Mus musculus: one gene and its partners. The protein of the gene in region 1 purifies or fractionates together with the protein of each later gene. This does not show direct contact. Links are inferred from orthologs where the notes say so. Each region holds a gene or a part of one and is shown on either strand. Other genes may lie near its edges.

What was found. The genes of interacting proteins can lie anywhere in the genome.
Region 2: the proteins of Rab8a (region 1) and Gdi2 purify together in Homo sapiens (co-immunoprecipitation; 5 studies listed by BioGRID and IntAct, with this or other methods). This does not show direct contact. The link is inferred for Mus musculus from reciprocal best matches to the Homo sapiens genes RAB8A and GDI2.
Region 3: the proteins of Rab8a (region 1) and Gdi1 purify together in Homo sapiens (co-immunoprecipitation; 6 studies listed by BioGRID and IntAct, counting the BioPlex papers as one, with this or other methods). This does not show direct contact. The link is inferred for Mus musculus from reciprocal best matches to the Homo sapiens genes RAB8A and GDI1.

The regions. Positions count from the first base shown.
Region 1 is NC_000074.6:72,160,056-72,164,050, reverse strand, and holds the start of Rab8a (ras-related protein Rab-8A), read right to left. Parts: upstream 2,852-3,995; 5' UTR 2,693-2,851; coding exon 2,569-2,692; intron 1-2,568. UniProt on the Homo sapiens protein: The small GTPases Rab are key regulators of intracellular membrane trafficking, from the formation of transport vesicles to their fusion with membranes.
Region 2 is NC_000079.6:3,536,556-3,540,900, reverse strand, and holds the start of Gdi2 (rab GDP dissociation inhibitor beta), read right to left. Parts: upstream 2,827-4,345; 5' UTR 2,603-2,826; coding exon 2,558-2,602; intron 1-2,557. UniProt on the Homo sapiens protein: GDP-dissociation inhibitor preventing the GDP to GTP exchange of most Rab proteins. By keeping these small GTPases in their inactive GDP-bound form regulates intracellular membrane trafficking.
Region 3 is NC_000086.7:74,303,696-74,307,837, forward strand, and holds the start of Gdi1 (rab GDP dissociation inhibitor alpha), read left to right. Parts: upstream 1-1,316; 5' UTR 1,317-1,701; coding exon 1,702-1,746; intron 1,747-2,883; coding exon 2,884-2,991; intron 2,992-3,149; coding exon 3,150-3,249; intron 3,250-3,407; coding exon 3,408-3,542; intron 3,543-3,976; coding exon 3,977-4,142. Other genes in the region: Atp6ap1 (V-type proton ATPase subunit S1 isoform 1 precursor), read left to right, coding at 102-311. UniProt on the Homo sapiens protein: Regulates the GDP/GTP exchange reaction of most Rab proteins by inhibiting the dissociation of GDP from them, and the subsequent binding of GTP to them. Promotes the dissociation of GDP-bound Rab proteins from the membrane and inhibits their activation.

The sequences.
Region 1 (3,995 bases):
TGTAATGAGATCTGATGCCCTCTTCTGGTATGTCTGAACACAGTGACAATTGTACTCACCTATATTAAAAAAAAAAAAAAAAAACTTAAAAAAAATGTTTTAAGCCAGCCAGATGGAAAAGGATGTGTAGCTGACCTGTGTTGAGGCCCTTGGCTCCATCCCCAGTATTTCAAAAAGAAAAATTGAACAAACATATATGAGATGCAAAATAAGCAATACAGGTCAGCAAGATGGTTCAGTGGATAAAGGTGCTTGCCACTGAGCCTGATGACTTGAGTTCAATTCTTGGGTCCTACTCAGTAGAAGGAGGAAACTGACTCCTGTAAGTTGCCTTTTGACATTGGAATTTGGGAGCCAGAGGCAGATGATTTCCATGAGTTCCAGAACAGCCTGGTTATATAGCTAGCCTGTCTCAAACAAACAAACAAACAAACAAGGGCTAGGGACACGACTCAATCCCTAAAGTCCTTGCCACAAAAGCATGAAGACCTGGGCATGGTGGCATAAACTTACATAACATTACAGCACTGGTGAGACAAGAAAGAAGGGTCCTGAGGCTTGCTGGTCATCCAGCCTCAAACTTGGTGAGCTCCAGGATCAGTGAGAGACCAAGCAAAGATAGCTTGGTGGGTGAAGGTACTCACCCATAAACCTGACAACCTGAGATCAATCCCCAGGACCCACATGGTGGGAGGAAAAGAACAGACTTTAAAAGGTGTCCTCTGACCCATACATGTGCATAAGCATACACATACACTCCCAATAAAATAATTTTTAAAAATGAGGTGAAGATTGAGGAATAACCCCGACTGTTCCTGTATGCACACAGGAACATGCTCACACACATGCATGCATGCCAAATTGAACAACAACAACAAAACACCCCTGAACTAATGTCACCATGTTGGTGTTGACTAGGAAGTGTCTGAGGATGGGAAACTGAGGTCTGTGTTGAGAACAAACCAGAGCCTGTGGGTAGCTACTGTCACTTCCTGCTTGGTCCTCACCTGAGGGTAACTCCAAAGCTGAGTGTTTGGGTGGGGGTGTGTGTGGGGGGAGAGGCTTTAAATGCACCTGTGCCCAAACCCTCTGCTTCCTCCAGACTGAACCTTCCACTGGTTGTATAGATCTAATCCTCAACCACCCAGGGCACCAGACAAGACAGACAGTGCCATATCTACTCTAAATAAAATTGGGTCAGTGAGGGTTAGAGCTTGCTCAACCTAGAGTTCAAGTATGATGATTCCCTGTCCAGTTCCCTATACTTGACGCCTGACACACGACTGCTTCAGAACACTGACTGGGAAGGAGATATTAGATGGCATTATCACATGACGGTCAGGTCAGGGAGACAACAACTTAGTTGACATTACACAGAAATCATCCCCCAGTTTCCCTTTTCCTTCCAAGGCAGGGTCTCATGCAGCCCAGGCTGGCCTTGAACACTCTATGTAGCCAAGGATGACCCTGAGCACCCGATCTTCCTGCCTCCCTGTCCTTAGTGCTGTCATTACAGGTGTTCACTACCACATCTGGTTTCAGGGTGCTGGAGATGGCACCCAGGGTTCCAACAATGGAACCACATCCTGACTAGGGATAAACCAAGCCTAGTGACTATTCTCTTGTTTCAGGACCATACACCATCCAGGTCACTCTGTTTGGCAGGATTTACTTCCAGGTAACACTCAATGTGAGCCATGACTATTCATGGTAAGGAGCATGGTCAGCACCATTTTTGACGTCAGAACTGGGGCCATCACAAGCCAATTCTGTTCAACTGTGCCGTGAGGCAGCCCTGGGGAAAAGCTGTTCAGGTGGTGTTCTTGGCCCAGTGAAAGGAAGTCAGTCAAGGCTGCACGTAGCCATGGCTGGACTTAGTTTCTTACTGGAACTTTTTCTCTTGTATTCCCACCAGGATGACAGATACTGTCACCATTCCTCAGAGAGAAGGCAGGAGGACTTTGGGTTGGAGTCCTGACTTAGATGTGGATCAGTGGTGCTGGTCCTTTGAAGCTCTGGAACAGCTGAACCTTGAATTTTGGAGTCAGACACACCTGGGTTCAAATCTCATCCCTAATACCTGTAGACTGTGACCTTCAGTGCGTGCCGCACCCTCCCTCAGTTTCAAATTCCTCCTCCAGGGACAAAGCACCCATCACGAGTACACTACAGATTTGATACTGCACATGCCAAGCTTGCCACATAGGAAACTACGAGGTCAGGTGTCACCTCCATGCCTCAGTTTCCACTTTTGGAAGACGGGGGTCTCCCCGGAAGAACAGTGTAGAGGTCTGATGTAAAGACACAGAGAGTTGACAGGCGCCAGGACCCCAGGGCAGGCTCTTCCTCAGACTGCAGCCTGCATGTCCCTGTCTGCACCTTGGTCTCCGGCGCCCGCCAGGGTCCCGGCCTGGACTCCCTGGCGGGAGGTGGAGGCCGCTGCGGTTCTCTGTCCAGCCCCGTGACCCTCCCGGATCCTCGGCCCGAGTGGATCCTGAGTCGATCCCTCAGCCCAGCCCCATAGGGGCGCGTCCAGCCCTGGTCACCGGCCGCCCAAGGCCCCGCTACCTATGGTAGAGATGAATGTGGAGTTGAAGGCGTCCTCGGAGAAGCGGAACAGGACACAGGTCTTCCCTACCCCCGAGTCCCCGATCAGCAGCAGCTTGAACAGGTAATCGTAGGTCTTCGCCATATTACACTCTCTCCCCGACGGGAAGTACGGCCGGCGCCTCGCCACTGGTCGCTGGACCCGTCTATCATCTCAGATCCCGCCCCCTATTGGCCCCCTGCCCGCCGCGCATCATCCAGGCCTACGCCCGCCACCCGGAGCCCCGCCTGTCGCAGAGAGCCCAGGGGAAAAAGGCGAAAGCGGCGCAGAGCCGGAAGCAGCCGACTGCACAGCCCATTGGTTGACGCTTGGTATAGGGAGGTTTGTTATTGGCTAGTGCTGGAGAGTCGAGGGTGAGGGCGTCAAATGACCAGCGATGGGTGTGGTCACATCTTGACCCCGCCTTCCCGTGCGCGCCTTCTCCTCAGCCCTTCAGCGTCCAGGCCCTGCCCCCGACAGGAGGGACCCCAACAATTCCGCGCGCTGGTTGATGAGAGAGTGGGAGGGACGGGCTTGGTGAACAGGCGCAAGCGTACTGGGAAGACGGTTGGCTCTGGCAGAGAGCGCACGCGCGCAGAGAACGCCTCGTGTTTCCCGCCTTCTCTGCCTGCGCAGCAGCAGCCGTAGCCGCAGCCGGCGCTGAGGCGAAGCGCAGGAAGTACCTGTGGTAATGCTTCTGAGGAGGATTTTCGGCGGTGCAAAAGTGGCGCGGGTTAAGATGTGCTGCAGACTCGCTCCTCGGCCTTGGCGCCCACCATTGGACTTACTTAGGTGCTGTACAGGCAAGCCGGCCATTGCCGTGAGCGATCCCAGGGCTTCAGCGCCGGTAGGGCTATGTTATCATTTCCAAGTAATGGCAGCGTTTTTTGTTTTGTTTTGTTTTGTTTTCTTTTCTGTGCTTGCGGGTGCTATCTATACTTAAAAATAAGTCAAGGTCCTTCACCCCACACCAGCCCGGCTTGGTAGGTAATCTTTTCCTCGTTTTATGGTAAGTATACTGAAGACAGGTGAAGTGACTTTCCTAGGTTTCAGAGTAGCATTTTTTTTTCCCTTCTGTTTTTTAATATGTTGAGGTGTAGTCCCGGAGTAACGGGAGAACAGTGACAAAATAAAATAAAGCCACATTAAGATAAACATCTGAGGGCTGGAGAGATGGCTCAGCGGTTAAGACTACTCTTCCAGAGGCCTTGAGTTCAATACCCAGCAACCACATGGTGCCTCATAACCATCTGTAATGGAATCCAGTGCCCCCTTTTGGTGTGTCTGAAGACAACTACAGTGTACTCAAATCTTAAAAAGAAAAAAGGAGTGGGGGGGGGTGGATAGATGGCTCAGTGTTTAAGAGCACTTACTGATCTTCCAGAGGTCCTGAATTACATGGTGGCTC
Region 2 (4,345 bases), on another chromosome or scaffold:
TGGCTTTTAACTTTGACTGGGAGTCTCTTCAAGATTTAACCTAACTCAAGATTTCACCCAAGTTCTACTAATGTCATTTCTTATTGTCAACATCATTCTGCTATTACTGTGTCTATTAATGATGGTCCTATGATGATCACAAGCTACACTGATACAATTCTAAAACATTTCCCAGTATAGATCTAGGAAGGCCCAGTGAGAAACAAGGTTAGCATAGCTGTAAGACAGCAGAAACTGTTCTAAATTCTAGTTACTTATGTATCCACTACCCATTAAGAAATTCACAATTCAAGTGAAAATTTAAATAAAGGGTGTTACTTTGTTAAACAGACTGTGCTATCTTTGATACAAAATGATGCTTCTAAACTAGGCCTGTGGAAGCCTGCAGGAAGCCTCTGGGCTCACTTAGCTACACTCAACCCACCCTATTAATGGGCAAATGTGAAGTATTAGCAATGACAATATAAAAGAGAAATAATTGGCTCTCACAATATGCTGGCAGCCACAGGGCCCACTAACAGGCCACCATCACAAACTACTTACTATGCCCGGAACCCCCAATTAGGCACTAAAAAAGGTCAACCTGCAGAGAGCCCTGGGTAGTGATTAATTTAGCCATTCAAGTCTCCCCAACTGACGGGGTTGAGGGTGGGGGGTGGGTGTTCCAATGGCTGGGTGTGACAGTATGTGCCTTTTAATCCAAGCACTGACCAACTACTGGGAAGGCTAGAAGGTAGAAATATCTTTTAAATTCAGGGTCAGCCTGATCTATATAGGGAGTTCCAGTATAGCTAGGCTACAGAGAAAGATCTTGCCTCAAAAAAATAAAAGAAATTCAGTCATTCATTCAAAGTTAAGTAGATGGCCTTGTAGGTGAGCAATGATGTCTATCTCCAGTCTACTCTCTGGGCAGTCACATGTTACTGAGCCTTGAGCAGAACATCTTGGCCTTGCCTTTCATCCCAACACCCAGAAGGCAGGGATAGGCAGAGCTCTGCATTCCTGGACAACCAGAGCTACAAGGTGAGAACTTGTCAGAATTCAATAATCTCTTCTAGCAATCATTCATCACTTCAAAGAGAAAAATAAGCTTTTCCTAAAAGTATTAAAAGAAAAAAAGTAGAATAAAAAATCTTGAAGGTTTTCTCTAAAACAGTTATTTCCGAGTATTTTATCTTAAAGATATTAATTTGATTCTAAGAAATGCCAATGCAAGCTGGGCGGTGGTGGAGGCAGAGACAGGCGAATTTCTGAGTTCGAGGCCAGCCTGGTCTACAAAGTGAGTTCCAGGACAGCCAGGGCTACTTAGAGAAACCCTGTCTCGAGGAAAAAAAAAAAAAAGAAAGAAAGAAATGCCAATGCATTTCAACAAAGTCGAAAGCCGTGGGGCTCTTATTAAATGACTTGGACATTTGATGGATAGACATATGGGATCCATACATCAATGTTCCAGATGAAGTAATTTACCCATAATTTCACATTCAATACCCCCCCCACACACACACACCGCAATTGATATTCAAAATGGTCGGTTCTCTTCCCAACTCCTTTTTGCAAAAGATCAGCCCTTTTGTCACAGTGGGGGGCCGGGGGGAAAGCACAAAGTATAAAAACCTGTCTATATTTTTCCCATATTTAAGCAGATAGATACTGACGAAAACGTACTGGAGCATTAGGGACCGCCTTACATTTACATACCAGTACATTCACACTGCGCATTTATTTTCTAACCTCCCAGAAGTGTAACAAGTACAGAGAACTTAGCCTCCCCCTTCTCAAGAAACTGTGGCGGCACGCAATAAACCAAACAAAAGGGAAGCACGGGCCGGACGTGAAAAGTATTTAACAGACAAGTTTTGAGAAAATTCATTTCCCATTTCAAGCGAGTGGATGAGAGGGCAGTGAAGCAATTAGAAAAAGGGTGTTTGTTTTTTTCCTAAAGAAACTCGTTTCATGATTTTCTCTAGAAACTTAAGTTGGCCAAACTCTAGGACAAATTATCGATCAGCGATCATCCTTCTGTTTGGCTTTCTGCGCCCTGAGACTAGCTGAGTAAGCTGCTGCTGCTGCTGCTGCTGCTGCTACTCGCCACTTACATAGGAAGTGCAGGCGCCAGCAGCGACTCCCTCCCGCTCGGTCCAGGGCTTGCCTGCTTCCAAGCGGGAGAGGTCATTCACCCAAAGGGGAAGTGCAAGGAGCACAAGCTGTTTTCCCGGTCCTCTTCCTTCCTGCAGGAGGACGAGGCTGTCTCTCTCCGGCTGCTGGGCGGTTCTGCCCTCAACTTCCCAATGGGCAGGCTTCCCACGGACACGTCCCGGCTTCCACATCCTGGTTTTCCCTAACACACTACCGACGCCTTCAAATCACTGCATCCCAACAAGCCACGACCTCCCTATCCCAGACTCAACGCGGGCGAGTGGGGACGGCCCCCAAGGGGGCGCAGACACCGGCAGTTCGGGCGCGGGCGAGGCTCGTGCACACCGATGGGACCCGCCCTCGCCCCCGGGCCCGGCGGAGGCCGGCCGGCCGCGTCTCCCCGCAGCCCGCCGCAGCTCACCGTCAGGCCGGTGCCCAGCACGATCACGTCGTATTCCTCATTCATGGCGGGGAAAGGAGCGCACGCGGGGGCTCGGAGGCCGCCGTAGAGAAGGGAGCGAGAAGTCCGGCCGCTCTGGGCCCCGGGGGTCGGGGGGAAAGGGAAAAAGCGAGGAGAGGAAAAACGGAGCTGAGGAGGAGGAGAGGCCGGCCGCCACCTCAACGGGAAGAGAAGAGCAGGGAGGGGAGGGAGGGGAGGCGGGGAGAGCGCGGGGTGAGGAGAGCGAGCTCCGGCGCCGGGGCGGGGCGTGCGAGAGGCCGACGGCGCCGTCAGTCAAGGGGATCCTGCTCTCTCATTGGTGAATTTCCTTAACCCCACCTCTCCCCCCCTCGTTCCCCTCTCGCGAGAGAAGGGCGGACTGCTGCCATCTTGGCTTCCGGTTTTGCGCTTTTTTTTTTTTTTTTTTTTTAAATTTCACCCGTCTTGTGCTCCTGTGGTATGGGCGGCGACATGCGAAGCTGAGGGTCTAGTTGAATAGGAGGAACAAGGCGGAAACTGCAGCTGGGCTACCACGTGCCTGACTCTCGCGCCAAGGTGTGAGATGGAGCACGGTTGTTTAGGCTTCGGGCCACGGAGCCCAAGCTCCGCCCTTGGGACTTTGAGAGGTGTACGTGCATCGCCCTGGCCGAGCGGGGCCAAGTCGTGAGGACGCCAGCCTCTCCGAAGGTTGGCAGCCTCGTTGCCTCTGCAGCTTGGCTCCTGGCCCTGCCCCTGCCCCTGCCCGCGCGGGGCTGGGAAGACCTCAGGATTCTGTGTGCCCTGCTTTAAACTTGTATGGTTCTGTTCGAACAAATAAATGTGTTCTAAACTGGTATCCATGCTTTAGGTAAAATGTGGTCCAGAATGGCTTTCCTATATAATGCTCCGCATTCTAGCTTGTGATGCAAAGCAGGTTATAAATTTAAGAGTTGATAACCCTGGTACCCAAGCAACTGGGCTTCAACTAGTCTCTCAGGCTGAAGGCTGCCAAAATGTGCTTATAAAGGCAAATGCTGAATTGCACTATATTTTGTATGTTTGCTGTGTTTCAGCCTCTACATGCAATTACCACACTAGAGGTGGGGCTTCTGAACCATCTTTGGTGTGCTGCCTGGTTCTGGATCCTGATCCTTGTTAAAACTTTGTTGAATCTAATTAATTTCAGAGTTGTTTTGTTTTGTTTGGACAACAGAATTGTCAGGGTGCAAAGTAGACCTTCCAGTAACCCTCAGGACCATTAAAGCAACATTTGCAGGCCCCTTGGACATCAAGCTCCACTGGCTTTGAACTAGCTGTGCTGTGCCTCGGCCCTTAGCACACACCTTTAATCTTGCTGGAATACAGGCACACCCTAAGTGCACACCTTTGATTCCAAAGGTAAAACTAGTTTATTAGAAGGAAGCACCCATGTTTAACAGTGATGTCTAATTGAGTGGCTTGACTGAATCAGAGAAAGGTTTGCCAGGTTATACCCAGCTCTCAAAAGAGAGAGGGAAGGGAAGCTATTTAAGAGGCAGTACAGAAGAGGAGGAGGAAGCAGTTTTACTGTGACAGTTATAAAGGGACAGGTTGCAGAGAGGACAAATTAGACACAAGTAAAGACAGAATGAGTCAAAGAAGAGGCGAAAAACCAAAACAGATTGCTATAGTTAAAGGTCAAGCAGAGCAATTCGGAAGAAGCAGAGAGGAGCCAGATTGAATCAGTCAGCTTGGAGAGGAGTTTGAACCAGAACAGCTGAGTTGAACCATCCAGCCAGAGTTCAGAAAGAA
Region 3 (4,142 bases), on another chromosome or scaffold:
AGTCTCTGAAGGTATAGATTATTCATTGATTCCAGAATCCCAGCTCTTACTGTGTGTGGAACCTTGTGGAACCATCTGATCCATGTCAATGTGTCTCCTAGATCCAGGCCTTCAATGTGACTGGTGAACAGTTCTCCTATGCTAGCGACTGTGCTGGTTTCTTCTCTCCGGGCATCTGGATGGGTCTGCTCACCACCCTCTTCATGCTTTTCATATTCACCTATGGTCTGCACATGATACTCAGCCTAAAGACCATGGATCGCTTTGATGACCACAAGGGCCCCACCATCACTTTGACCCAGATTGTGTGACATACACCTGAGAGGAATTGAGGGAGTATTGGTGTCTAGGTTGTCATGTTTCTGTTTTGTGACACAGTGGATGGAAAGGTTTGTCCTCTTCCTACTATAGCATGAACCCTACATACGCCACCCTCAGTCTCTCTTGCTTCCTCTTTAACCCGGAGAGGGACTCCCCTGTGGCTATCCCCCATCTCTACCAACAAAGTGTATTCTTCATAGATATTAGATAAATCTTCCAGGCTTCATCATCAAGAGGGGAAGGGACCTTAATTCTAGGGTCTCCCCTTTACCCTCTCTCCTTATTTATTCTTGCCCCTCTGCTATTATTCCTTGCTGTTTATAGTGCTTTTGTGTAGTAAATGCTCACTCCCCAAGCTTTATGGAGCTTCCAGCAACAGCCATGAACTTGAGGTTCCTTGAATTTGCGAGGTGTGGAAAGACTACTTGACTGTCTGTCCAGCTTAGCTGTTATGTTTTTTGGGGGGGAGGGGTGATGTGTTAAGAGTGAGTGGTACACTGGGGTTTATTTCTGTGGCCTGGGAAGGAAGAAACCATCACGAGGATTGGTGAACAAAGTGTGCTCACTGGGTTTCTGGATTATTCCCATAAAGACTGCCTGTCAAGAGGCCGGAGGTGTGTGTGGGGGGTTGCTCTGTTGTTTCCTTCCTAATAAAATAAAGACGTGTTGCCTTGTGTTGGGCTTCGTGTCACTCATTTCTGCACTGAACAGTAGATTTTTTTTTCTTGACTGAAGGGAAGAAGTGCTCAGATGTAGTCCAGTCATGCAAGAGGTGAGAGAGGAAGGGTGGGAGGGTCTTCAGTAAGCTGATACTCTTAACAAACCTACTTAGAGTAGAGGCTTGTTACTTTTCCTGGCCTTGGGAGGAATCCTGACAATGGTAGCTCCGCTACTGTGCAACAACACACAGCAGGGCTTCCATACCTTGTGTTTCTCCCAGGGGGCGGTACGGGAGCGCGCGGGGCGGGGCGGGGCGCGCGCGGCTCCCGCGCAAGGATCTTTCGGAGGACTCAGCACCTGCTGCCGGCCTGCCCCGCCCCGTATTTTTCTGGGCTCACGAAGAGCCCCGATAACCCCTGCAGTCATTCTGGTGCTGGGACCCAGGTGACAGAAGCCCTCCCAGAAAACAAGCAAGGAAATGATGACTGGTTGGGCGGGGCGGGGCCAGCGGAGAGAGAGAGGGACTCATTAACGCTGCGTAGGGATCAGGAGACAACCGACAGACGCCATCTTTGGTTCAGTGCGGCGGCAGTGACAGAAGCAGCGGCAGGGGCAGCAGCAGCAGCGGCAGTAGCAGCAGTAGCAATAGTAGAGGTAGTGGTAGCGGCTGCTGTGGTGAAGGAGGAGGAGCAGAGCGGACGCTGGTACCAAGGCCTGATCATGGATGAGGAATACGATGTGATTGTGCTGGGGACAGGTCTTACCGTAAGTGCCACTTCAGGCTCTCATAGCCCTGCATCATGCCATCCCTCCCCACCCCACGCCATCCCTCCCCACCCCACTCCATCCCGCATTGATGCAGAGTCCGGTATCCGATCCATCCTCCCATCATCCTAGCTCCAGCCCTGGGAAAACCAACCCCATGCCCAACCCACTACCTCACCCTAGGATGTCGATTCCAGTTCCCAATTCTCTGTAGAGGGCCCCACTTTGTCCTGTGTTCCTGCACTCTAGTACTTAACCTCAGACCCCTATTCTTCCCTATCTCTATCACCGAGGTGGAAAACTCACCCCCCCACACACACAGTGGAACCATTGCACCCAGCCCCCACCCTTTGCCTGAACTCATCACCTGCTCCAAGGCCTTGATTAGCATCCCTTACCATCTTGTGATCAAACTAGGGGATGGAATATGAAGATGGGTATGGGGACATTACAAGGGTGGGCCCTCATCATGCTTTTCTGCTTTTTGGGATGGGATAGGAAACCCATGGAATGTTCCAGAGACAGCAGGAGTGTGTGTGTGGGGGGTGTGGGGGGGGGGTAGTGACCACTTTACCTCTGCCCCAACTTGGTTTCCCATGGAGATCTCAGACTGAATATATATCCTCAGCCTTTGTCCTTGGGTTAGTGACTGACTGGTGAGGGTGTTTGTCTCTTCCCTGCCCCCGCCCCCCCCAACCCCCACCCCCGGCCTAAATCTTTTTAGTTTGAACCCTGAGTCTAGACCAGTGGATAGGGCCAGAAGAGAGTCAGGGGCTCCTGCCCTTTGAAGGAGGAGCAGGGTGGGGCCTGGGATTTCAAGGACTTGGCCTTCTCTTTCAAAGGTCCTTTGAATTGGTTCTTCTTGTAGACTCATTGTCTTTTTGTGGGCTCAGAGAAGTAGATACTTCTCTTGGCTTGTTGATGCTGGAAGACTTGGAAGCTGAAAGCTCTGCCCCCCAAACCTCCTTTAATGCTCCAGTAGTTTACTCAGCAGGGTTGTAAAGGAAACATCATATGAAGCCATCTTCTCCTCCCCAGTTTTAGGCACTGAAAAGAGCTGCATTATAAAATTGGTGGTGGGCATGAAGCAAGTTGGAGGGTTATGGGGTATAGCTGCAAATGTCACTCCTTCCCCAGGAATGCATCCTGTCTGGCATCATGTCTGTGAATGGAAAGAAGGTGCTGCACATGGACCGAAACCCCTACTATGGGGGTGAGAGCTCTTCCATCACACCCCTGGAGGAGGTAAGATTTCTTATTCTTAGACCTGGGCTTAGACCCAGATCCTTGTTAGTCTTCCACATAGGTATAAGGGGGCGAAGTAATTCTCAGGTACTGGGCAGGAGAGTGGGAAAGGGCGACAGGTCCTTGACATTTTTCTTTCTTTCCTGTCCTGCTTACAGCTATATAAGCGCTTTCAGATACTGGAAGGGCCCCCTGAATCAATGGGCCGGGGCCGAGACTGGAATGTTGACTTGATCCCCAAATTCCTCATGGCCAATGGTGAGAGAGATTAAAAAGATGCTGTATATGGTTTTGGGGGTGGTGAGTGGGAAGACGGAGTGGGGAGAGATTGGTCAATCTCAAGAATATGGTCAGTCAGACTACTGAGAGTTTTTGAAGGAAAACACAACAATGTCCCTTATTTCCTCTGGACACAGGTCAGCTGGTAAAGATGCTACTATATACAGAAGTGACTCGATATCTGGACTTCAAGGTGGTAGAGGGCAGCTTTGTATATAAGGGGGGCAAGATCTACAAAGTGCCATCCACCGAGACTGAGGCCTTGGCTTCTAGTGAGTATGAGTCTCCTTAACCAGAGAATAATGGGGCTGGATGAGACAGACTATTTTCAGGACAGTTAGGCAAAAGGCTCATCTTTGCCTGAAACTAATCTTAGCTCTGTGTAGTCCTAGAGGACCCTTACTTTATAGTGTATTGATTGGACAGTGCTACCCATCCTGGCAAGTTGCCAGAAAGTTCACAGAACAGGATTCCTTTTTGTCAGAGGGCCTACTTGCCCTGTAGCATCCCTACGTGGAACTAGAAGGGTTTCTTCCTACAAAAAGAAAATTGAGATCAAGAAGGGTGGGGTAGTGTTACATGATAGAGTATTGGTGGGAGCCAATACTCTACATTACATACAACCAGCTTTCTTGGCCTGCTCTGGTGGAAAGAGGAGTTCTATGTCCCAGTAATGCTAAGGGTCTTCTCAATACCTTTCTTTCAGATCTGATGGGCATGTTTGAAAAACGACGCTTCCGAAAATTTTTGGTGTTTGTGGCAAACTTTGATGAGAATGACCCCAAAACCTTTGAGGGTGTTGATCCCCAGAACACCAGCATGCGTGATGTCTACCGGAAGTTTGACCTGGGTCAAGATGTCATAGATTTCAC